2 linked regions of the Stegostoma tigrinum genome follow. The main gene of each other region encodes a partner of the protein of the gene in region 2 in a complex. Links are inferred from orthologs where the notes say so. Each region holds a gene or a part of one and is shown on either strand. Other genes may lie near its edges. The genes, in order: protein lin-7 homolog B and amyloid-beta A4 precursor protein-binding family A member 1-like.

What was found.
Region 1: amyloid-beta A4 precursor protein-binding family A member 1-like (region 2) and protein lin-7 homolog B share a complex: the UniProt entries of both Homo sapiens proteins name them as parts of the brain-specific heterotrimeric complex. The link is inferred for Stegostoma tigrinum from reciprocal best matches to the Homo sapiens genes APBA1 and LIN7B.

The regions. Positions count from the first base shown.
Region 1 is NC_081391.1:19,466,291-19,479,176, reverse strand, and holds the start of protein lin-7 homolog B, read right to left. Parts: upstream 6,102-12,886; 5' UTR 6,081-6,101; coding exon 6,044-6,080; intron 4,267-6,043; coding exon 4,148-4,266; intron 952-4,147; coding exon 880-951; intron 1-879. UniProt on the Homo sapiens protein: Plays a role in establishing and maintaining the asymmetric distribution of channels and receptors at the plasma membrane of polarized cells.
Region 2 is NC_081356.1:28,368,943-28,381,110, reverse strand, and holds the start of amyloid-beta A4 precursor protein-binding family A member 1-like, read left to right. Parts: upstream 1-6,195; 5' UTR 6,196-6,368; intron 6,369-11,918; 5' UTR 11,919-11,992; intron 11,993-12,168. UniProt on the Homo sapiens protein: Putative function in synaptic vesicle exocytosis by binding to Munc18-1, an essential component of the synaptic vesicle exocytotic machinery. May modulate processing of the amyloid-beta precursor protein (APP) and hence formation of APP-beta.

The sequences.
Region 1 (12,886 bases), on a different chromosome or scaffold from region 2:
CAGGGCGACACCTTTTCAGCAGCAACTGCAGTGTAGGAGATTGAGGAGTAACCTTATAGAGGTTTATAAAATCATGAGGCCTACAGATAAAGTGAATGGTAGATATCTTTTCCCTCGGGGTTGAGGATTTCAAAACTAAAGGGCATATTTTAAGGTGAGTGGAAAAAATTTAGAAATGACATAGGAGGGGCAACATTTTTACACTGAAGAGTAGCTTGTGTGTGGAATGAACTTCCAGACGAAGTGGTGGATGCAAGTTACAATGTTTAAAAGACATTTGTACAAGTACAGGAATAAGGAATGTTTGGAGGGATATGGGCTAAGCGCAGGCAGTAGGACTAGTTTAATTTGGGATTACAGTCACCTTGGACTGGTTAGACCAAAGGGTCTGTTTCCGAGCTGCGTGCGTCTATGGCTCAAATTAGTGAAAGGCAATAAATGCTGGCCTTACCAGCGAGGTGCACAATCCAGGAATGAATAATTCATTTTTGAAAACTGATTGCAGGTTGTTCCCTCTGGTCAAAGAGTTCAGGGTGACACAGAATTACCTTAAAATTTGAGTCAAGCCATTCAGGAGTAATATGAGGAAGTACGTCTTCACGTAAAGACGCCTGGAGAGCTGGCTGTTTCCCCCAGAAATCTCTTGTGGCTAAGGGTCAGTGGATACTTTCAAATTTGAGGCTGACAGATTTGTGTCAGGCAAAGGTACTTGGTGCGACTGTACTCAGGCAGGTACTTCAGGTTACGGTTCAGAGCAGCCAGGACCTGGCTGCATGGCAGAAGTGACCACGGCCTTCTCCTGATCCTGTGGTCACAGGTTCGCAAATACCTTGTTACTTGTGCTCAGTGAGGGACCCGGGTTCGTCAGGCTGTGGGTACCTTGGCTGTTGCGTGAGCTCGGATCTCAGGACTGCCACTGATGTCGAGTGTCTCGTAAAGCTGTTCGTACACCTGAATGAGAGACGGGGTATGGGAACACAGAAAACAGAAGCAGGGTTAGGCCATTGTCCTAGTGAGCCTGCTCCACCATTTAATATGATCATGGCCAATCCTCTACCTTAATGCCGTACTCTGGTTCCCTCGCAGACTCTTTGACACCAGAGATAATGGGAACTGCAGATGCTGGAGAATCCAAGATAACAAAGTGTGGAGCTGGATGAACACAGCAGGCCGAGCAGCATCTCTTCAGTACAAAAGCTGACGTTTCGGGCCTAGACCCTTCATCAGAGAGGGGGATGGGGAGAGGGTTCTGAAATAAATAGGGAGAGAGGGGGAGGTGGACCGAAGGTTGATAGAGGAGAAGATAGGTGGGGAGGTGTGGAGGGGATAGGTTAGTCTGGGGAGGACGGACAGGTCAAGGGGGCGCGATGAGGTTAGTAGGTGGGAAATGGAGGTGCGGCTTGAGGTGGGAGGAGGGGATGGGTGAGAGGAAGAACAGGTTAGGGAGGCGGGGACGAGCTGGGCTGGTTTTGTGATGCAGTGGGGGGAGGGCCTCTCCCCATCCCCGTCTCTGATGAAGGGTCTAGGCCCGAAATGTCAGCTTTTGTGCTCCCGAGATGCTGCTTAGCCTGCATCTAGATACACACTTTGTTATGTTTGACACCGTTAGCTTCTGAAAATCTGTTTATTTCTATTCTTCCATAATGGTAGAGAATTCACAGGCTCAGAACTGTGTGTGAAGAAATTTGTCCTTATCTCAGTCTGAAACGATTGAATGCATATCCTAAGAATGTGACCCTTTGAGCTAGATCCCCAGGCCAGGAGAAACATCATTCCTGCATCCTGTCTGTCTAGGCCTGTCAGAATTGTACATTTGATGATGAGATCGTCTCTCATTCTTTCAAACACTACTGAATACAGAGCCACGTGACTCAATCTCTCCTCTGACTAACCTGACATCCCAAGAATCCATCCATTATGTTCTCCTGCTGTCCTCCTTATACATCCTGCACTCAGCTAAATGACAAAATCTGTCAAAGTACAAGTTTACAGGGATAGAAAACAAAAAAAAAGCATAAAATTTCAAAAACACACCTTTTGATGCTAATTCTGTGTTTGATAGTGTTAACTGCTTAAGCTAATCTGCACTGGTGCAACCCCTTTATATATCTCTAACATGCCAGGAATTCTACACAGTTTCAGCAAGTCTGTGGCTCCCAGCACGTTAGCCAATTGTACAGCCCCTGCACGGAAGTATTCTCACAGCACCCTGTGTCATTATGGAGCTGCACAGTACTCTCAAAAATTAATGTAATAGACTAATAACTATAATCAACCCCAGTACAAAAGACAGTCACTCATGGATTACAATCTAATGCTGTCGGATCTCTTGTGGCATCTTCATGGTATAATTATACCAACAAGACTGTTAATCAAGTATGGCGCGAAACGTATTAAGGAAACTTGGCATTACACATGCATGCCGGGCTTTTAAAAAGACTTTGAGCTGCTCTCCCACGGTCTTTCACTCAGTCAGTAAAGATCTAGTATGAGTTTGAGGTGAGGTGCAGGATTATTGGAACACAGCACAGTTTATGGTCTGCCCTTTCTCTCACACGATTTGTTAACCTTTCTCATTACGCATTTCTACATCCATACTTAAAAACCACAGTATGTAGGCAAACAAAACAGATCTAAAATGGCACTTGCCTGGAATTGTCCCGCAGTATTTCCAGTGGTCAGCGCGTGTAATTACAGTGTGATGCTTACATATGCAGTTACCATCTCAAATGTGGGCGTAAGAATAATAATACGAAGTGTTAATATAAGTGCATGACTTAAATGTGAGAGCAGACAGCAATATTCTATGGACAAATGGTATGCAGGTATAAGGTATTACTGAGACAACAAGGGGTAGAGCTGGATGAACACAGCAGGCCGAGCAGCATCAGAGGAGCAGGAAAGCTGACGTTTCGGGCCTAGACCCTTCTTCAGAAATGGGGGAGGGGAAGGGGATTTTGAAATAAATAGGGAGAAAGGGGGAGGCGGATCGAGGATGAATAAAGCAGCAGTTTCAGGACTGAAGAGATTATGAGAGTTGCAGTGAGATCCTCTGAGGTCTTTCATCCAGCTGTACACCATGTTATCTCAGATTCTCCAGCATGTGCAGTTCCTAATATCTCCGAAACATTGTTAACTCCACTGCAAAGCTTCTTCTAAGGATGCCTAACTTGAAGAAGTTACCCTCCTCCCTCCAGGAAGACCTCAGTGGATCTCTTTCCCGCTGCAATTCTCGCTTAATCTCTTTGGCCCTGAAACTGCTCCTTTATCCATCTGCTATCTACCTCCCCACCTCCCTATTTATTTCAGAATCCCCTTCCCCCTCCCCCCATTTCTGAAGAAGGGTCTAGGCCCAAAATGTCAGCTTTCCTGCTCCTCTGATGCTGCTTGGCCTGCTGTATTCATCCAGCTCTACACCTCGTTATCTCCGATTCTCCAGTATCTGCAGTTCCTACTATCTCTGAAACAAGGTGTTACTGGCTAATCTTCACTGATGCTGTAAATGGACATTAAGTCCAAGTATATTTTTCAGTTAAATTTGGTAGGAATATTCTCTGTAGTACAGGCTAAGATGCCAGAAGATACAAAGCTTGGGCAAAACTACCTTATTATTCATGATGTGTGTAATTGCAGTCTGATAATTTCTCATTAAAGACTTGATTATCGGAATTGACTGGGGACATTTTGAAACATACTTCTTGATCTGGACAGGTGAGCTACATAGAATTCACAACACAGAAACTGGCTAATTGATATTAATTGGTCTAAGCCAATATTATACACCACAGAGGTCTTCCCCACTACCCCTCTCTGCACCCCACACTCTTAACAGCATAACCTTCTATTCCTTTCTCCCATATATGTTCACCAGCTTCGCCAAAAATATATCAATGCGGTTCACCTCAACTATTCCATGTTGTAGTGAATTTTAAATTCTCACTGCACTCTTTGTTAAAATTGTACATGTTAGAAAGAGTAAAATTCATTTTTAATCAAATGCAACAGTAATATGTGCAAATAAGCTTCTTTCCTTCAAAGGCTGACGCATGCAGAAAGAGCTACAATGCACAAACACATTTGCTGATGTTGAGTTTAATGAGCGCATGCATTTAGGGAGCAAAGCTATAGTCGCTGATTGCGTACTGACCTCTCGGATGGCAGAGCAGAACTTGCTCTGAAGAACTCGCTGCAGCGTCTGCAGTTTCTGCGGGGGAACATTGCCGCTTCGCTGTAACTTCTCCAGCAGCTCGATCGCTCTGGTAACATCTAGACCATGCAGAAAGCAGAAATTAAGCAATTGGCTTGCAGGTAGTGTTCAAGCTTGACATTTCTGCCCCATCCCTGGCCAGAAGTATTCTTGCTCCGTCTAATTTATTTTCTGGTGTGTGGCAGTGGCTTCTGAAACCAGTCTGGGAACCCGTGCTTCACTGACAGCCACTTGCAATAATTAACTTGCTGCTGCTTGCCTTCTCAGGTGGAGCACAAGAGATTAGATTAGATTAGATTCCCTACAGTGTGGAAACAGGCCCTTCGGCCAACAAGTCCACACCGCAATTTATCTATAGTATACATTTCACGTATGTATCAAACCCAGATAATGTTCTGGGGGCCCAGGGTTTGAATCCCACCATGGCAGATAGTGGAATTTGAATTCAATAAAATATCTGAAATTAAGAATTTAATTATGACTGTGAATCCATTGTCAATTGTCAGGAAAAACCTATCCGGTTCACTGATGTCCTTTAGGGAAGGAAAGTGCCATCTTTAGCTGGTCTGGCCTATGTGTGACTCTAGACGCACAGCAATTTGGTTGACTCTTAAATGCCCTGGGGACAATCAGGGATGGACAATAAATGCTGCCTAGCCAGTGATGTTTTCATCCCATGAATGAATAAAGAAGCCAAAAAATATGAACAGCCCCCTGCCTATCCTACCTGTGCACATGTTAAATAGGGCATGTTGTTGTTGGGTGGACCATACAAAATCGTCAGTTATTCTGGAATGACTGGTTATTGGCTTGTTAAACACCCCACTAGCTATCTTAAAGATTTTGTTTGCTACTGCATTTTTGAGCATTGGATGTGAGAAAATTTGGGAATGTCTTATGGCACTAATGACAAGGCAGCACAATTGTGGCAGAAGTGGTCCTTTTACTGATTTTATTTTAATTAATTCAGTTGTCTATGCTCTGACACACATGTGAAATGTACACTATATATAAATACACTGCAATATACAGATAAATTGCTGAAACATATACTGATAGCTATAACTGAAACATACACGTATATCAAAATTTATTTCAGGTATCTGAAAAACATATTTCCCCACATTTTGTATCTTTCAGATACATATCAGCATGCATTTCAGTAATGTGTCCTATACTTTATAGGGGTAAACGCTAAATGTATTCAGACATATGTTTCATATATATGACATTATAGAATTCACTGATACACCTCGCATATCTTTCAGGGATATAATTATCTATGTTTCAGTATTACTGAAATAGAATTTGATAGATATACGAAATGTGCAAAAATTATTCAAAAATATGTCTGAGAGATACAAAATATATAAGTGAAGGATGATTGATAGAAAGATGTGTGGGACAAATATATGCTGATAAAGTTATGAGACATTGTTAACATGTATATTGACCGGGCTGATTATATACATTTACAGATTTAAGAATGAGACGTATTACTAAAATAGACACTGACACATATTTTTGTTTTAAGATATTTTACTGAACTATATCAGCCATAATTCTGGAAAAAGTCGCCATAGATCCCGTCCCCTTTCGCTATTGGTCGGTCTCCTTATATATATTAATAGTCACCTCATCCCCATTGGTCCACCCTGCTGTCAATCAGAGAGTTCAGGCTCTGATTGGCTATGCGGGTAGCGGTGTCACTCATTCATAGCTTTAACGGGATCAGGAATGAAATGCCGGTCCTTCGCGGGGTCTCGGTGGCCCCCATGGAAAGAGAAAGAGATGCGACGGCAGCAGGGTTTGAGGGTGGTCAGCTATTTCACTCACCTCTCTCCAGCGACAAAGATTCAGCCAACGCCGCCATCTTGGAGCCGGTATCACCTGACCGTGAAGCGACACGTGATCAACACCGGCGGAGCTGTAGCCACGCCCACCGCGGTGAGGGGCGGGGCCTCCCACGCCTCCTGCAACGACAGGTGTCTGGCGACAGGGGCCGCTGTCACCTTCCTCTGGCCACGATCCCCAGTCCTGCGATGACAGTCCCCGGCCACAGGGGCCGCTGACCATAAGAAATAGGAACTGAAACAGGCCATTCAGCCCGTTGAAACTGCTCCACCATTCAACAGGATAGTAGCTGATCTGACAGCCCTTACATGCACTTTTCCTGTCCTTTCCCTTTAACGTTTGATTCCCCAACTGATCAAGAATAATGTATGGTTACAAGATAATGTATGGCTAGGAAGGGGTGAACGCTGGGAAGTTGTTTCTGTTAGGCAGGGAGACTAGGACCCGTGGGCACAGCCTTAAAATTAGAGGGGGTAAATTTAAAACTGCAATGAGACGACATTTCTTCAGCCAGAGACTGGTGGGCTTGTGGAATTCATTGCCATAGAGTGCAGTGGAGGCCGGGACGTTGGATGCCTTCAAGGCAGAGATAGACAAATTCTTGATCTCACAAGGAATCAAGGGCTACGGGGAGAGTGCAGGGAAGTGGTGTTGAAATGCCCATCAACCATGATATAAATGGCGGAGTGGACTTGATGGGCCGAATGGCCTTACTTCCACTCCGATGTCTTATGGTCTTAATCTATTTCACCATTAAATAGACATAAGGTACCTCACAGCCCTCTCTGTGAAGAAATTTTTCCTCACCTCAGTCTGAAGTTGCAGCCCTTTTTTCTGAGACAAGCTGTTGGAGGGAATCCCTACACACAGGACTTACATGTATTTGGAAAGACAAGGACTGATTAGGGAGATTCAACATGGCCTTATGCTTTGCAAATCACATCTAACTAACTTGATTGACTTTTTTGAAGAGGTGAGGAGGATTGATGAGGGCAGGGCGGTAGATGTGATATATGTGGACTTCAGTAAGGTGTTCAACAGGGTTCCTCATGGGTAACAAAGTGTGGAGCTAGATGGACACAACAGGCCAAGCAGCATCTTAGGAGCATAAAAGCTGACGTTTCGGGGCCTCGACCCTTCATCAGGTTTTTGGTTAGCAAAGTTAGATCATGTGGAATGTAGGGAGAACTAGCCATTTGGATACAGAACTGGCTGCAAGGTAGAAGGCAGAGGGTGGTAGTGTAGGGTTGCTTTTTGTACTGGAGGCCTGTGACCAGCCACAAGGATTGGTACTGGGTCAACTGCCTTTCATTGTTTGTATAAATGATTTGGATATGAACATAGGAAGTATGGTTAGTAAGATTGTAGATGACACCAAATTGGAGGTGTAGAGGACACCGAAGAAAGATACCTCAGTGTACAATGGGATCTTGATCAGTTGGGACAATGGCCCGAGGAGTGGCAAATATTGTTTAATTTCAATAAATGCAAGGTATTGCATTTTTGGAAAGGCAAATCAGATCAGAACTTACACAGTTAATGGTAACGTTCATAAATCATAGAATCCCTACGGTGTGGAAACAAGCCCTTTGGCCCAGCAAATCCACACTGACCCTCAGAACATCTCACCCAGACCCGTTCCCCCTATAACCCACCTAATCTAGGCATCCCTGAGCACTACTTTTGACTGACCTAGCCTGCACATCTTTGGTCTGTGGGAGAAGACTAGAGAACTTGGAGGAAACCCACACAGGCGCAGAGAGAATAAGTATTTTCCACACAGGTGGTCAGCTAAGGCTAGAATTGAACCCAGGTCCCTGACACTGTGAGGCAGTAGCGCTAACCACAGGGCTACCATGCCACCCCAAGGTTCTGGGGATTGTTGCTGAACAAAGAGACCTCGGAGTGCAGGTTCATAGCTCTTTGAATGTGGAGTCACAGATAGACAGAATAATGAAGAAGGCATTTAGTGTGCTTTCATTTATTGGTCTATGCATTAAGTACAGGAGTTGGGAGGTCATGTTGCGACTGTGCAGGACATTAGTCTGGGCACTATTGGAGTACTGTGTGCAAATCTGGTCTCCCTTCTATGGGAAGGATGTTGTGAAACTTAAAGGAGTTCAGAAAAGATTTACAAGGATGTTCCTGGGGTTGGAGGGTTTGAGCTACAGGGAGAGGCTGAATCGACTGGGGCTGTACTCCCTGGAGAGTCGGAGGCTGAGGGGTGACCTTATAGAGTTTTACAAAATCATGAGGGGGATGGAGAGAGTGAATAGGCAAGGTCTTTTCCCCAGGTTGGGGTAGTCCAAAACTAAGGGGCACGGGGATAAGGCGAGAGGGGAAAGACTTAAAAGGGACCTGAGGGGTACCTTTTCACACGGAGGGTGGTGTGTGTATGGAACGAGCTGCCAGAGGAAGTGGTGGAGGCTGGTACAATTACAGCGTTTAAAAGGCATCTGGATGGGAGGGTTTAGAGAGATATGGGCCAAATGCTGACAAATGGGACTGAGTTAGATTGGGATGTCTGGTCAGTATGGACTAATGCACTGAGAGGTCTATTTCTGTGCTATTTGACTCTATGACTCCAAGTCTGTATCTGACATAACCAAGCACCTGAATATTGTAAAGTGAAAGGAGGATCTGAGATACCTCTCTCTCATCATCATCCAAGGCTACAGAAACACCTTTCAGGTGAAGGAGTGAATTACCTGCACTTCTCTCAATCTAGTGTACAAAAGAAGATAAACTATTTGATTCCAGTAAAGGAGCAGGGATGTCCACACTGTAGGTAATCTAAATATATCGTTCTGTTTTTGATCTCCTTGTCTGAGAAAGGACATTCTTGCTGTAGAAGGAAGAACAGCGAAGGTTTATCAAGATTGATTTCAGGGTTAAGAAAGTGTGGAGCTGGATGAACACAGCAGGCCAAGCAGCATCTTAGGAGCACACAAACTGATGTTTCAGGCCTAGACCCGTCATTAGAAAAGGGGGATGGGGAGAGGGTTCTGAAACAAATAGGGAGAGAGGGGAAGGTGGACCGAAGATTGATAGAGGAGAAGATAGATGGGGAGGAGAGTATGGGTGGGGAGGGGATAGGTCAGTCTGGAGAGGATGGACAGGTCAAGGGGGCGGGGTGAGGTTAGTAGGTAGGAAATGGAGCTGCGGCTCGAGGTGGGAGGAGGGGATAGGTGAGAGGAAGAACAGGTTAGGGAGGCGGGGGCGAGCTGGGCTGGTTTTGGGATGCAGTGGGTGGAGGGGAGGAGCTGGGCTGGTTGTGTGGTGCAGTGGGGGGAGGGAACGAACTGGGCTGGTTTTGGGATGCAGTGGGGGAAGGGGAGATTTTGAAGCTGATGAAATCCACATTGATACCGTTGGGCTGCAGGGTTCCCAAGCGGAATATGAGTGGCTGTTCCTGCAACCTATGGGTGGCATCATTGTGGCACTGCAGGAGGCCCAGGATAGACATGTTGTCTAAGGAATTGGAGGGGGAGTTGAAATAGTTCGTGACTGGGAGATGCTGTGTTCGTCCAGCTCCACACTTTTTTTATCTCAGATTCTCCAGCATCTGCAGTTCCTATTATATTTGATTTCAGGTTTGGCAGGTTTGACATATGAGGAGAGATTGAGTCAGTTAGGATTCTATTCAGTGGAGCTGAGAAGAATGGGGAGGGACTCTCATTGAAACCTACAGAATTCTACCACGTCTAGAGAGGTTAGATGCAGGAAAGACTGGGGAGTCCAGAACCAGGGGGCATTGTTTAAAGATAAGGGGTATTCTTTAGGATTGAGATGAGGAGAAATTCTTCACCTATAGAGTAACGAGCATGTGGAATTCACTATCACAGAAAGTGGTTGAGGCAAAAACATTGTGTTTTCAAGAAGGAGGTAGATATAGTTTTTGTTTTGTGGCTAAAATGATCAAGGAATATAGGGAGAGGGGAGGATTAGGGTATTGAGCTCAATCAGCATGATTATACCGAATGGTGTAGCAGGCCCAAGGGACTGAATGGCCTACACCAGCTATAATTTTCAAAGTATTTACTGCTCTCACTGGTCTAATCTACAATGTGAAGATGAAACACAGACAGGGCGACCCCAAGCTTCCAGTTGCCTGTCGCTGAAACACACCATTGTATTCTCTGGGCAAGATTTCTGTCCTGGGCTTGCTGCAGTGCTCCAGTGAAGCTCAGCACAAGCTGGAAGGACAGCAGAAACAAATTACTGCAAATTACTACTGAATCTTGTACTGAAAGCAAACAATGCTGGGGATCAGAGCAGGTCAAGCGGCATCCATGGAGAGAGGGGGGGAGAGAGAGAGAGAGAGAGATGGAGAGCAAGCTAATGTTTTGAGTCTAGATAACTCTTCATCAGAGCTGGAGGAACAGTATAACTAAAAACCAAAAGAAATGCGGATGCTGTAAATCAGGAACAAAAACAAAAGTTGCGATAAAAGCTCAGCAGGTCTGGCAGCATCTGTGAAGGAAATAATCAGAGTTAACATTTCAGGTCTGGTGTTCTGAGGAAGGGTCACCAGACTTGAAACGTTAACTCTGTTTTTTCCTTCACAGATGCTGCTGAGCTTTTCTAGCAATTTTGTTTTTGTTGTTGTGTTGTGGAAGAACAGTATCTTGTTTTCTGCTTGGGAATCCTGTGGCCTTCTGGTTGTGATTCCACAACTGGGTAACACATTTCGAACACTCCCAAGTGTGCTTGTTATACTGACAATGAGATTAAGGCAATCAGTTGAGCTCATCATGTGATGAGAGATAATAGGACCTGCAGATGCTGAAGAATCTGAGATAACAAGGTGTGGAGCTGGACGAACACAGCAGGCCAAGCAGCATCAGAGGAGCAGGAAAGCTGACGCTTTGGGCCCAGACCCTTCATCATGTGGCTTATTTACACTTGTGAGAAATGGCATACACTCCTTCTCCATGAACAAAAGAGATATGCTGAAAGCCTTACTCCTTTTTTTTGAATTGCACAGGTCATTGCTTTCTCCATGGCAACATCTCAGCTAGTCAGGCCGGATGTGTCAACCAATCACATCCCTTGTCTCCAATCATTTGAAATTTGGCATTCTTGTGTTTGTCCTGATGTGTGCAAGACAAGCTCTCTCACAGAACTCCTACAAGTGCAGATGCAGACCATTTGGCCCATCGAGTCTACAGCAAATTGCATCCCAACTCCACTCCATAACCCTGCATTTCCTTTACACCAATCCACCCTAACCTGCACACCTTTGGACTGAGGAAACCGAAGCTCCCAGAGGAAACCCACGAAGACACGGGGAGAATGTGCAAACTCCACAGTCACCTGAGGGTGGAATTGAACCCGGGTCCCTGATGCCATGAGGCAGCAGTGCTAACCACTGAGCCAGTTTTCTCTCTCTCTCTCAATCTCTCTCTCTCATTCCCCGCTCCCCCGCTCACACCACCCCCAGCAATATTCAGTCATTATCTGTAAAGGAAGAATTTATGAACATACACTGCAGAAGCAGAGTAGGTCATTTGGCTCTTCAGTAAGACCTATAGTTCCTTAATCCTGGAAATCCAGGGCAAGAGGGTGGTCTTCACAGGGTCAGTATAGGCTCAATGGGGCGAATGGACTCTAGAACATAGAACATTTCAGCACAGTCCAGGCCCTTCGGTCCTCGATGTTGTGCCGACCTGTCATACCGATCTCAAGCCCATCTAACCTACACTATTCCATGTACGTCCATATGCTTATCCAATGACGACTTAAATGTACCTAAAGTTGGCGAATCTACTACCATTGCAGGCAAAGCATTCCATTCCCTTACTACTCTCTGAGTAAAGAAACTACCTCTGACATCTGTCCTATATCTTTCACCCCTCAATTTAAAGCTATGCCCCCTCGTGCTCGCCGTCACCATCCGAGGAAAAAGGCTCTCCCTATCCACCCTACCTAACCATCTGATTATTTTATATGTCTCAATTAAGTCACCTCTCAACCTTCTTCTCTCTAATGAAAACAGCCTCAAGTCCCTCCGCCTTTCCTCGTAAGACCTTCCCTCCATACCGGGCAACATCCTAGTAAATCTCCTCTGCACCCTTTCCAAAGCTTCCACATCCTTCTTATAATGCGGTGACCAGAACTGTACGCAATACTCCAAGTGCGGCCGCACCAGAGTTTTGTACAGCTTCACCTTAACGTCTTGGTTCGGGAAATCAATCCCTCTATTAATAAAAGCTAAAACACTGTATGCCTTCTTAACAGCCCTATCAACCTGGGTGGCAACTTTCAAGGATCTGTGTACATGGACACCGAGATCTCTCTACTCATCTACACTACCAAGAATCTTACCATTAGCCCAGTACTTTGCATTCCGGTTACTCCTACCAAAGTGCATCACCTCACACTTGTCTGCATTAAACTCCATTTGCCACCTCTCAGCCCAGCTCTGCAGCTTATCTATGTCTCTCTGCAACCTACAGCATCCTTCGTCACTATCCACAACTCCACCGACCTTAGTGTCGTCTGCAAATTTACTAACGCATCCTTCTACACGCTCATCCAGGTCATTTATAAAAATGACAAACAGCAGTGGACCCAACACCGACCCTTGCGGTACACCACTAGTAACTCTGTCTGCACTGTAGCGATTCCATGATTCTGCAACTGGACTTGAGTTGACCTGAATCAATGTTTTTCAAAGGTTTTCATTGCTTTATTTATAAAGCCTGGAATCTGTACAGCCCATATAAACAGGTACAGAATGAGGCCATTCAGTCCATGCCATCTTTTTTGTAGTGCAGTCTAGTCAGTCCCATTCTCCTCTTTTATCCCAGTAGTATGAACGTT
Region 2 (12,168 bases):
GGTTACCATATTACCATGGATAGAGGACTTGCTTAGCAAAAACAGAAATTTGGTGTAATGTTAGCATTTTCAGGATTGCAACCTTCAACTAGTGGAATGTGGTAGGATCAGGGCCAGAGACAAAATTGCAATATGTATTAATGACTTGGCTCAGGAAAGTGAATGTACTATTGTCCAGTTTAAGAATGACATTAAAAATAGGTAGGAAGGCATCTCGTGAGGATGACACAAAGAGGGATAGAAACAGATTAATTGATTGGGCAAAAAAGCTTGGCAGATAGAATATAATGTGGGAAAATATGAGATTATATGCTTTGACAGGAAGGATTAATGAGATAAATATTATTTAAATAGAAAAAGACAGCAGGAGCTGCAGGACAGAGGGATTTGGGAGTTCTTGTGCATAAATCACAAAAAGCTGACATACAAATTCAGTAGGTCATTGGGAAGGCAAATGGAATGTTGGTGTTTATTTCAAAAGGAATGGAATATAAAAATAGGAAGTCTTGCTAAACTTAGACAGGATGCTGGTTAAACCACATCTAGAATACTGTGAACAGTTTTGGACCGCTTGTCTATGGAAATAAATGTTGCCATTGGAGGCAGTCCAGAGAAAATTCACAAGATTGATTCTAGGTATGGAGGGATCTTCTTATGATGAGAGGTTGAGTAGGTTGGGCCTGTAATCATCGGAGTTAAAAGTATGAAAGGCAACATTTTTTTAATCATATGCAATTCTTAACGGATTTGCAGAGAGGTTGTTTCCCATTGTGAGAGAGTCTGGGACCATAGGGAATAATCCCAGAGTAAGGGATTGCCTATTTAAAGACTGAGATGAAGAGGTTCTTTCCTCTTAAGGTAGTGGATCTGTGGAATTCTTTATTGCAGCAGGCTGTGGAGGCTGGATCACCAAGTATATTCAAGGCTCAGATTTTAAATGAGTAAGGGTATCAAGGGCTATTGGGGAAAGGACAAGAAAGTGAAATTGAGAATTATTAGATCAACCATGATCTCACCGAATGGTGAAGCAGACTCAATGGGCTGAATAACCGACTTCTCCTCCCGTGTCTGTGTAATTTTATACCATTGCAAGTGACTCAGGACAAAACAATTATGTTTTCAAGAAAGCGATAGGTATAACTCTTGTGGATAAATGGATCAAGAGATACAGGAGGAGTGTGGGATGAGATTATGGAGCTTGATGATATTGATACTTTGATGATATGGAGTGGTGGAGCAGGCTCAAGGGGTCAAATGGCCTATTGCTGCTCCTGTCTTCTCTGCTACTATGTGTCTCATGGTCATTACCTGGGTTGTAAGAGGGATGAGGGAGGTTGCTATGAATACACAGATGGATGTTGAAAACAACTTGATTCGAACAGAAGATGTTCCAGTGGAGCTTGAGGGATATTTACCCTAGATATTTATTGCAACTATTGTTGAGAGATTGAGGGAAGCAGCATGAATTAAAGATTTTGGGAATTTCTGATTGTGAATTTTGGCCCTTGTGAAAGAGGAGTTCCATGTTACAAACACATAATAACTTAATGCTCTGACCCTATCACACAATATACACAGAACTGAAACAAGCTATTCAGCCCAACTTGTCCGTGCTGGTTCTTAAGCTCCACAGAACCCTCCTCCGCCTTGACGTTATCTCACACTAGCAGCATTTCCTTCTATTCCTTTTTCCTTCACATGCTTATCTAATTTCCCCTTAAATACATCCATACTATCCACTTCATCCTCTCTATGTGACTCCAGGCAGGAGTCAAGACTGAAATTTAAATATTATTGGATTCTAGGAAAGGCAAAATATATGGAAACCAGGCAGGAAAATGGGTTTGAGGTGAAAGTGTAGCTACAATCATCTTGATTGATGGACCCTATGGTCCAATCTTGCCTCTGTTCCTTATGTTCTTATCCACATTCTCACCATGCTCTGGGTAAAAAAGGTGTGAATTCCCTGTTAATTACCACCGTACATTTATGACACTATATTTGGGCTCCAACAGCAGGAACATTTCAGAGAAACAGCCATCTCTTAAAAATTTTTAAATTGGCGAGTGAATTTGTAATGTAGTAGGAAATGCTCAAGGTTTTTGATATAATTATATTTTCTATATTCAGAATTCTACTCTCTGCAGAGTAGCTGAAAGACCAGATGTGTTTGGATTTATAGATTAACTGTGCAAATTCTCTAATTCAGTATGGTTGTAGGATTTTACCATGAAACAGGCTTCTTAACCATGTCAATCTCAATTAGTGCTGTGGCAAGCTGCCACTGTTTCAGTGCACTGTATCACAAGCCCAGTTGGTATTTAGCATTTAGAAGATGCTGTATTGACAAAAGCAAAGAGACTTAGGGTTTTGATGGAGTGGGAACATAGTTTCTTCTTGTGGGGGAACAGCATAAGTAGAAGTCACCCAGGCAAGACAATCATTAAGACGTCCAACAGAGAATACAGGTGAAACTTTTTCATTCAAAGAATGTGGAACTCGACCACAAGGATTGTTGAAGAGAATGGTACAGACGCATTTAGGAGGAAGTTGGACAATCACATGAGGAAGATGACTGGAGGGTTATGTGGATAGATTTAGATGAGGTAAGATGGGAGAAAGCTGGAGTAGAGCAAAAAAAACACCAGAACAGATTAGAGCCAAACAATCCTGTTTCTGAACCCTTTATTCTGTGTAATTTTATGTGTGCAATCATTCACAAACATGAAATAGTAAAAGTTGATATTTATTACGTGACCACAGAATTAGGTGGCAAGAGTTTTATCAAATGCTGGATAATAATTTATTTTGTGTCTTTAACACAATAGACTGTCCACACAGGTGTTTTTCAAAATTTGACACTGAGCTGCAGAAGGGCAGGAGACTGAAACGATCAAAGAGTTAGTTTCAAAAGGGGAATGAGAAATGGAGGTGAGGCTCAAGGGCAGAATTCCAGAGCTTAAGGCCTCAGCATTTGAAGGCAAGATTGCCCTGTTTAATACAAAAGGTATTACTATATTTTTTAAAATGTCGCTTATCAGTTTTTCTCCATTGCTACTTTTCCATTTAACCTCTGAACATAGATTCCACTTGTATCAGTTAACATTTTTAAGGACTATAACATAATTTTAAAATTACAACTGCTTCAAATGAGAGATAGGCAGTAACAAAACTGAAAGAAAGCAATTACAGAACAATGCATTTTCACTTTCTTCACAAAATATTTTGAACTAAACAAATGTGCTCATTCCCTGCTCTAGAATGTTTGGTATCAGAAACAAATGATTTCTGTACATTTAAACAAGAGAGAGAGACAAGCACATATCACAGATTGCTAAGCAGTTCTTCATAAAAAGGTTAAAATTAACATAATGCACTAAACTAACCAAATTACAGCCCTTTTGATGGCGGTTCTGCAGCAGTTATTTCACTGTCGACACAGGAGGTAGTTTCTCCTTAGGATCCCTGACACTGGGGTGTGTAGTATGGTGCTGAAGGATGGAGAAACTGCAGCTGCTACTGCAGAGCTGAGAGACATCACTCACTATAACCACATTAACCCGGAGAGGTGGAATACAGTGAAGCAGCTGCAATCCTATGCTTACTTTGATTCAGCAAGACCATGCAAAAAAGACAAGGTTCCTTACATTTTGTATTGCACGTTTCATACAAATGATAAATTCATCACAGCATTTTTCCTAGATTTCTTCCAATTTTACTAAATGGTGTAAATGTATATAACTCTGTAGTGTGTGAAATTTTCCAGAATGTAGAAAAAATGCTAGCACAAGGAGTAAGTGAAATGATTAGTGTAGATGCATTTAAGAAGACAAAAAACAAAGTTGCTGGTTAAAAAAAATTCAACAGGCCTGGCAGCATCTGTGGAGAGAAAGCAGAGTTAATGTTTTGGGTCCAATGACCCTTCCTCAGAACTTGCTGAGTTTTTTCTGCTGAGTTTTTCAGCAATTTCTGTTTTTGTTTCTGATTTCTAGCATCTTTTGGGTTATTCTGCATTTAAGGAGGAGGTGGATGATCACCAAGGAGAAAGGACTCGAGAGATTATGCTGACAAAGTGAGATGAAGAAGGAATAGATAAAGATCCATGTGGAGCATAAACACCAGCATAGACCTGTTGGGCTGAGTGGCTTGTTTGTTTGTGCAAAATATTATGTGAAACAAAAATTTTAGGTCTAAACCTCAAGGTTCTCTCAAGGTTTCTATGGTGCAATGGCCGTCACATTCACTGAATACGCAAAACATTCCCTGTTCACAACCAGGCAGAATCATCAGGCTAGCTTAGGGCTCAGTTAGCTGGATGGCTGGTTTCCCAATACAGAGTGACACCAACAGTGTGGGTTCATTTCCCACAGTATCTGTGGTTACCATAAAGGACTGCCCTTGTCTGAGGTTAAGTCACCACCAGTGGTCTCTCTATGGTGAGACAGTGGGACTATGGCAGCTTTACCTTTGTATCAGATTTGCAAATGACTCATAAGGACTGACAACATATCCCATTTCCTATTCAGACCCTGTGGCTACCCTTTAGTATCAGTCACTTTACCAGCCCAGTTAATACAACTGATGAGTTTTCTGTCTCTGCTCTGTCTTTAAATGTATGTAATTCATTGGCTTTAAAGCTCAGCAACATCCTGAGGTGGTGAACGGTGCTGTAGAAATGAAAGTCTCGATTTTCTTTCCTCTTTAATCCATATGCAGAAACTAGTTTTCAATTTAAACAAACTCCCCATGGCCATTCTGGAATCTAATGATAATCTTAGTTTGTCCTCAAGGAAAAGTGGCAGAGACCATAAAACCCTTACAATGACCTAGGAATTGCAGGCAGGGAGGGTGTGAGAGAGCTGCAAAGTGCAAATATTATTTCTCCATCCTGTTTCTGAGCACATTTCTACGGGGTTCCAGGAATCTAAATTTTACTGTGTGACATAGAATGCAGAATTGAACCTCATGCTGACATTAAACTTGTAATGTTACCATGTTAATCCCCCGTCATTGGGAAACTTGCAAGAACTGAAAGGTGACTGCAGTATCAAGAGCGGAGTATAATCTGAAGACAACAGTGATTGGTAGATGATGGAGATTAACCCTCAGTGTGGGAGTAACCCCTGGGTCTGACAATGACACATGAACTATGGACATTGACGGTGTAGAGCTGGATGAACACAGCAGGCCAAGCAGCATCAGAGGAGCAGGAAGGCTGGCATTTCGGGCCTAGACCCTTCTTCAGGGCCCGAAACATCAGCCTTCCTGCTCCTCCGATGCTGCTTGGCCTGCTGCTTCATCCAGCTCTACACCTTGTTATCTCAGATTCTCCAGCATCTGCAGTTCCTGCTATCTATGGAGATTGACTCCTGAATGACCTTTGCGGTAAATGGAGAATTACATCTGAATGTTGAAGTGACCCCTGGGGAGTGCAGAGCGAGCCCTGAGTGTGGGAAGGACCCCTTGAATGTGTCAGAGTGATCATTGGGGAATGGACAGTGACCATTTTGAGGGTGGAAAGTGATGTCTGGGTATGAGAATGACCTCCTTAGTGAGAGAGTGACTACTGGGGTGTGGTGGAGAATGACCTCTCGGTGTGAGAGTGACCACTGGGGCAGATGAAATATGAGCCCCTTCGTGAGAAAGTGACCTCTGATTGTGAGAATGACTACTGGCAGTGGTGGAGTATGATCCCCTTAGTGACAGAGTGACTCCTTAGTGAGAGAGTGACCATTGTGGTGACGAAGAGTGACCCCCTTAGTGAGAGAGTGACCATTATGAGGTGGACAGTGACCCCAATAGTGAGAGAGTGACTATTGTGGGGTGGACAGTGACCACCTTGGTGAAAGAGTGTCCATTGCGGGGGTGGAGGGTGACCCCCTTAGTGAGGGAGGAGCCCCTTAAGGAGAAAGTGGCCATTGTGGGGGTGAAGAGTGACCCCCATAGTGAGACAGTGACCCTCTTAGTGAGAGAGTGAACCTCTTAAGTGGCAGAGTGACCATTGTGGTGGTGGAATGGCCCTCTTAGTGAGAGAGTGACCACTGGCTTAAGAACAAACATCAGAAACATTTCCGTCTCCGAGCCTGCGCAGTAATGGACCTTACCGGGCCCGGCTCCGGCGCCTGCGCGTTGAGCACGGTCCTCGGTCCAGCAGCCGGCGACTGCGCGCAGGCGCACTTCGCCCTGCAGCGCCTTCGCACACCGGGGCTACTTCCTGCCTGAGTGCCTCTGCAAATCTGAGTGTGTCTCTGCAAGAACCACAGGGAGGATCAGCTGGCAGCTAGAGGGCTTTAAACAATTGCAAGAAAACGGGCAAAGTGCGCGCAATGCAATCACGTCCAGATCTTGAGGGGCTTTAGGAATCACAGGTATGTAGCAGCAGGCTTCTGGTTCCCAGTTTCATTTTTTTTTGCAAAACGCTTTTAGTCATTTGCAGAGTATTTTGCGACAAATGTAAAAAAGGTGGGAGAAAGGATGCAGAAACCCCCTGTACACTTTCATGTAAGAAAATAAACGCATCAAAATAACAGCACGCTTAAAGCAGAACAATCTAAGTGTATTTTTAACTTAGATATTATGCGTATGTTCCTCCAGTTATTTTTCTTATTCTGAATTGTTCATTGACTGGGACATCCAAGAGATGGTCCATCTTATTGTGAAGATGCTATTCTCGCCCTTCAGTTTATTGAGGATCATGCTGCAGTAACGCTTTGTTGTGTTGATATGGCATCTTTCCTGAGAATGTACAGTAGCGGGCATATGGCAGACTGCGAGCAGAAAACCTCTCTAAGATCTTGTTTTTGCGTTTCATTCGTTGGTGTGTTTACAAGTATGTGATAACAGGGAGTTGGGGAGAGCAAACCTACGTTGCATTCTCTTAAGCCAGAGGGTGGTGAATCTATCTTACAGCAACAAGGTATCATACATGATACCATTTAAGCCAACCTGTAAACTCACTATGAATTCTCCCAAGATCAAGCAGGAACAATTCCTCTGTTTTTAAAGGCTAAAATGCTTACATTATTTGGCTTGCAAATTGTAACTGTTTAGCAGCAATAACTCAAGCGATGATCTAAAAACACATCTCCTTATACATTTTTACCAGTTGTAGTAGCCATCGTTGCTGATGGAATGCCAGTTTTACCATTTCACATAACTTCACTCAGGTTAAAAAAATTAATACTGTATGTAGTTCACCATGCGTCCTATTGAATTTAGACCAAGTGTCTGAAGGACTTTTTATTCATTAGCCAATAATAACTTGAATGAGTCAGGAAGGTAAAAGATATCTGTACGATATGTGAATGATATAGTCCATGATAGTATACAGATTGAAAGCTGATGACCGATCTGTGGGAGATAAAGGATTTGAAATGTTCAACCCCGTCACTAGTGTCCACTTTTTTGCTAATAACAGATTCCATTCATTCAGTGAATGTTTGATTGAAGGAAGGACTTCTTCAGTAACATGCTGCTTCTTGTTGATGTGTGCAGACATGGGTCAGCTTCCAGATGTATACTTACAATACGCAGCTCTGCCTGGCTGTCTGTGATGTTAAACAGTTTGTTCACTATCCAGACTTGCATAAGCCACACTTTGGTGAAATACGAGAAGACTGAAAAGCGCCACAAATTCTGCTGCCTCATTATCAATACCACCCCTTCCCCAGTAAAAGCCTCCGTTTGAACTAATCTGTTGGCAGCTTTGCTGTCATTTTTGACTGTGAGCTGAGTTTCCGATCACATGTCCTGTGCATCATAAAGGTTGCTTGCTTGCACGAGGTCAGCTGTCCTGGCCCTGCTTCGGTCCATCTGCTGCGGAACCCCATGTTCTTTTCTTTTCCATCTTCATGTTCAACTATGTTATTGCTCTCCTGGAAAGCTCCCGGTTTTCCACTTTACGTAAGTGTCAGCTACGCTGGCCGCATCCTAACTCTCACTAAGTGTCTCTTGCCCTGCTGCTTGCTGACTGACATTGGCTCACTGGTCTCCAGAGCCTCAGGTTTAAACTTATCATCCTCGTGTTCAAATCACCTCACGTACTTGCCTATTCTGTGCCTACAATCTCCTCGAGCTTACCAATCCCCTGCTATGTGCATAATTCACACCAGACCCTGTTCACCCATAACTCCAGTCCTCATGGAAGCACTGGGAACTGGGAAGAGGCCATTCAGTCCTTTGAACCAGCTCTACCGTTTGCTAAGATCATATCTGATCATATACCTCAAAGTCGTCTTCATGTTCTAACTCTTTATCCCTTGATTCTCTTACTACTCAGCAGTTTATGCTTAAACAACACAGTAATTTTAAAATTCTCATCCTTGTTTTCTAATCCGTCCATCACCTTACCCCTCTGTGTCTCTGTAATGTCCTTCACTTGTACACTTCTTTGCAATATCTGTGCTCCTTCAATTCTGGCTTCTTGAACAGCCCCAATTTTATTTAATAATCATCACAGCATATGGTGGGAATTCCAATGCTCTGGAATTCCCTCCATAAATATCTCTACTTCTCTCTCTGTCTCTCTCTCTCTCTCCCCTCCTTCAAGGTATTCTCCACAACTAGCAGTGTACAGTCATCTGAAGCCAGACGTGCTGAGTAAATGATCCATCTGGATTTGCTCCCGAAATTACGTCATTACTGACTCCAGACTGTAACACAATGTAAACTGAGTTGGTTACCCAGCAAGGGCAAAGTACATATGGGAAACTACAAAGGCTGTGGGACCTGACACCATTTCAGTTGTGATAATAAATGCTTGTGTTCCAGAAATAGCTGTATTTCTAGCCAATACAGTCCAATACAAACATCGAACCAACAATGTGGAAAACAGCAGAGGTCTAATTCAGCCATTTCCAATCGCCCTATTAGTCTTCCCTCAATCATCAGCAAAGTAATGGAAAGTGCCATTAACTGTGCTATAAAGCGGTACAGCTTCAACAATGACCTTACTGTCACTCAGTTCAGGTTCTGTCAGGGCCTCTCAACTCCTGACCTCATTACAGTCTTGATTCAAACATGGACAAAGACCTGAATTCCTCAGGTGAGGTGAGAGTTACTGTCCTTGACATCAAGGTTGCATTTGACTGAGTGTGGCATCAAGGAGCCCTGGTAAAACTGGAAGCAGTGGGAATCAGGGAGCAAACACTCCATTTGTTGGAGTCATACTGACACAGAGAAAAATGGTGTGATTTTTGGAAGTCAGTCATCTCAGCTCCATGTCATCTCAGCAGGAGTTCCTTAGGGTGTGGTTCTATGCCCCTCCATCTTCAGTTGCTTCATCAAAAACCTGCCGCCCATTACGGGGCCAGCAGTGAGGATGTTTCCTGATGATCGCGCAATCTTCAGCACGATTCATGATTCCTCGGATGTTGAAGTGGCCCCTGTGTCCCTACGCAGCAAAACCTGGACATCATTGAGGCTTGGGATGATGAGTTGCAAATTTTATTTGCCCTACAAATTCAATAGAGTATCATTGCTGAATCTCCTGCTGTCAACATGCTGAGGGTTACCGTTGACCAGAAACTGAATTGGAAAGGCCATAGTAGGCCAGGGGCTAGTTATTCTGTGATAAGTAACTAACAACGGCTCAGTGGTTAGCTCTGCAGCCTCACAGCGCCACGGACCCGGGTTCGATTCCAGCTTCGGGGGACTGTCTGTGCGGAGTTTGCACGTTCTCCCTGTGTCTGCGTGCGTTTCCTCCGGGTGCTCCGGTTTCCTCCCACAGCCCAAAGATGTGCAGGCTAGGTGGATTGGCCATGCTAAATTGCCCGTAGTGTTCAGGGGTGTTTGGGTTTTAGGGAGATGGGTCTGGGTGGGATGCTGCAAGGGGCGATGTGGACTTGTTGGGCCGAAGGGCCTGTTTTCACACTGTCGGGAATCTAATCTAATGAAAAAAAAATCCCGATTCCCAAAGGACTGTCCATCAGCTACAAAGCACATATCATATCCCATGGGAGGATAACAAAAAAAATCTGTTATTTGTTCAGTGTCACATTTGCTTTGATAATGCTTTGACCTAGAATGTTTGCTACTTTAAAGGTGCTGTCCCAACATGGGCAAGTTCCTGAATGAAATTGTTGATGGTACGAATTAAGACGTACAAATAAGATAACAGAAAAGCTTTAAAACTAATTGGCTTTTGTACTTGGAGTGGAATTCTATTAATCACTCTCATCTATATTCTGTCAGCTGTGTCGGAAATCAGTAATACCAGTGTGGTGTTCACCAAGTCAAATTATCCCTTCACCATGTGACAGTATTATTGTGTAGTATGGTGCTGTAACGCGGAAGGAGGCTATTTGGCCCGTCAAGTTGATGCACATTTTTTTCTCCACATGAACCATCTAATCTGATTTCACTGTCCTGCCTGCCTTCTGTAATTTGCATTACTTTGTCAACATCTACGTAAAGAGTCTAAAGGCATTTATTCTGAACAGGCTGCCATGGGGAATTCATAAGGACGTAAGAAATAGGATCAGGAGAAGTCGTTCCATCTCAAGATCTTGCTCCACAATTGAATAAGCCCATAGCTGATTTGGTTTTAATTCCATTTTCCTTTTTGACCCCCATAAAAATCCATCTAACTCAACCCTGAGTATATTCTATGACCCAGCCTCCAGTGCCGCTGTGTTGGAGAACTCCTGCAATTTAATGCTACATTGACAGAAGAAATGCGTCCTCATCTCTGTCTTAAATTTGAGATCCCTTATTTCTAAACCGTGTCCCCTAGTTCAAGATTTTCTCTCAATGGGAAATACCTCCTCACCACGTGTCCTGACTTTCAACAAGGTCACCTCCCATTCTTCTAAACTCCAGTGAGTATCAGCCAAGCTTGCTCAACTGTGCCTCAGAAGACAGCCCTTATCTTTGAACCTCCTACATTGTGAATAAATTCCAGCTTGTGTAAGGAAACCTAAACTCTACACAGTAAATTCTGTGTCCTGTGACATCTGCAGCACATTTTTAAAAACACCTTTTTAATTCTGTCCCTGAACCACCTGCAGCTCGACATCCCTCTGAGATTTATGCGTTCCTCCCAGTCTGACACCTTGTATATCCCAGATTTTAATCGCTTCACCATTGGTGTGCCTTCAGCTGCCGAGGCCTTGCTCTCTTGAATTCCTTCCATACGTGTATCCACCATTCTGTCTTCCTCTTCTCCTCTCCTTCTCTTCTCTATCATAGCCCTCCTTTTAAACTGTCCTTTAAAATGACCTTTTTGCCCAAATTTCTAGTCACCTCCCCTTATGTGGTTTGGCGTTAAGTTTTGTGGGAACATTTTTGCTAAATGTAGTCGGGATGTTTTGCCATGTTAACGCCGTTATACAAATACAGGTAGTCGTGGTGAAAAACAGATGCATGCTTTTCCCTCATGACTTTTACTCCATGTTTTGTGTGCCTGTCCTCGTGATTCAGCCAAAAATCAGCTCTTCTTGAACATTTGACCAATTGGAGAGTTAGAGATCCAGGTTTGTACCACACGGTATATTGATTGTTTTCACTGTTGCAGGAAAGTCTTGGTCTATGTTTTACTGGAAGACCACCCTGTGATTGGAAATTTAAAGGTGGGAAATTTGGAAATTGTCCCTTTTGGCAAACTCGAACACAAAGTTTACAAACGAGAGGGCAAACAAAGTTGAAAATAGATTACAGCAGGAATCCCTGACAAAATGATAGATTTTAATGCTTTCCTGACTCGTTTCCTCATGCCTGTTGCCCAATTGACTAATCATTACTGGCACTAAAGTGTGCATTTCTCAATTGGAAACATGCTACGAAAATAACAAACCCTTGTGGCCTCCTGACCGCCCTGTTACTTATCTAGACAGCCAAATCTGTAAAGATATTAATCATACTGTGCTGTTGGCTGGAACATGCAGTCTATAAATTCAATTTGTAAATCCATATTCTTTCAGTGAGGAGATTGCACTATCTGCTGTGGAATATCGCAGGCAGCTTCCTGACAACCCTTGAGGTTAACCCTGCAGAGGTAATTGTGTGCTGTTTGTATCTGATCGAATGTGCTGTAGCTCATTGGGATAGGCTATGACAGCTGAATGAAATTACACAGAATTACAACATTGAAACTGGCAATTGAGCCCAATTGGTCCTTCCAGTGTTTATGCTCCACATGAGTTTCTTTTCATCCTCCTTCAATCTCACCCT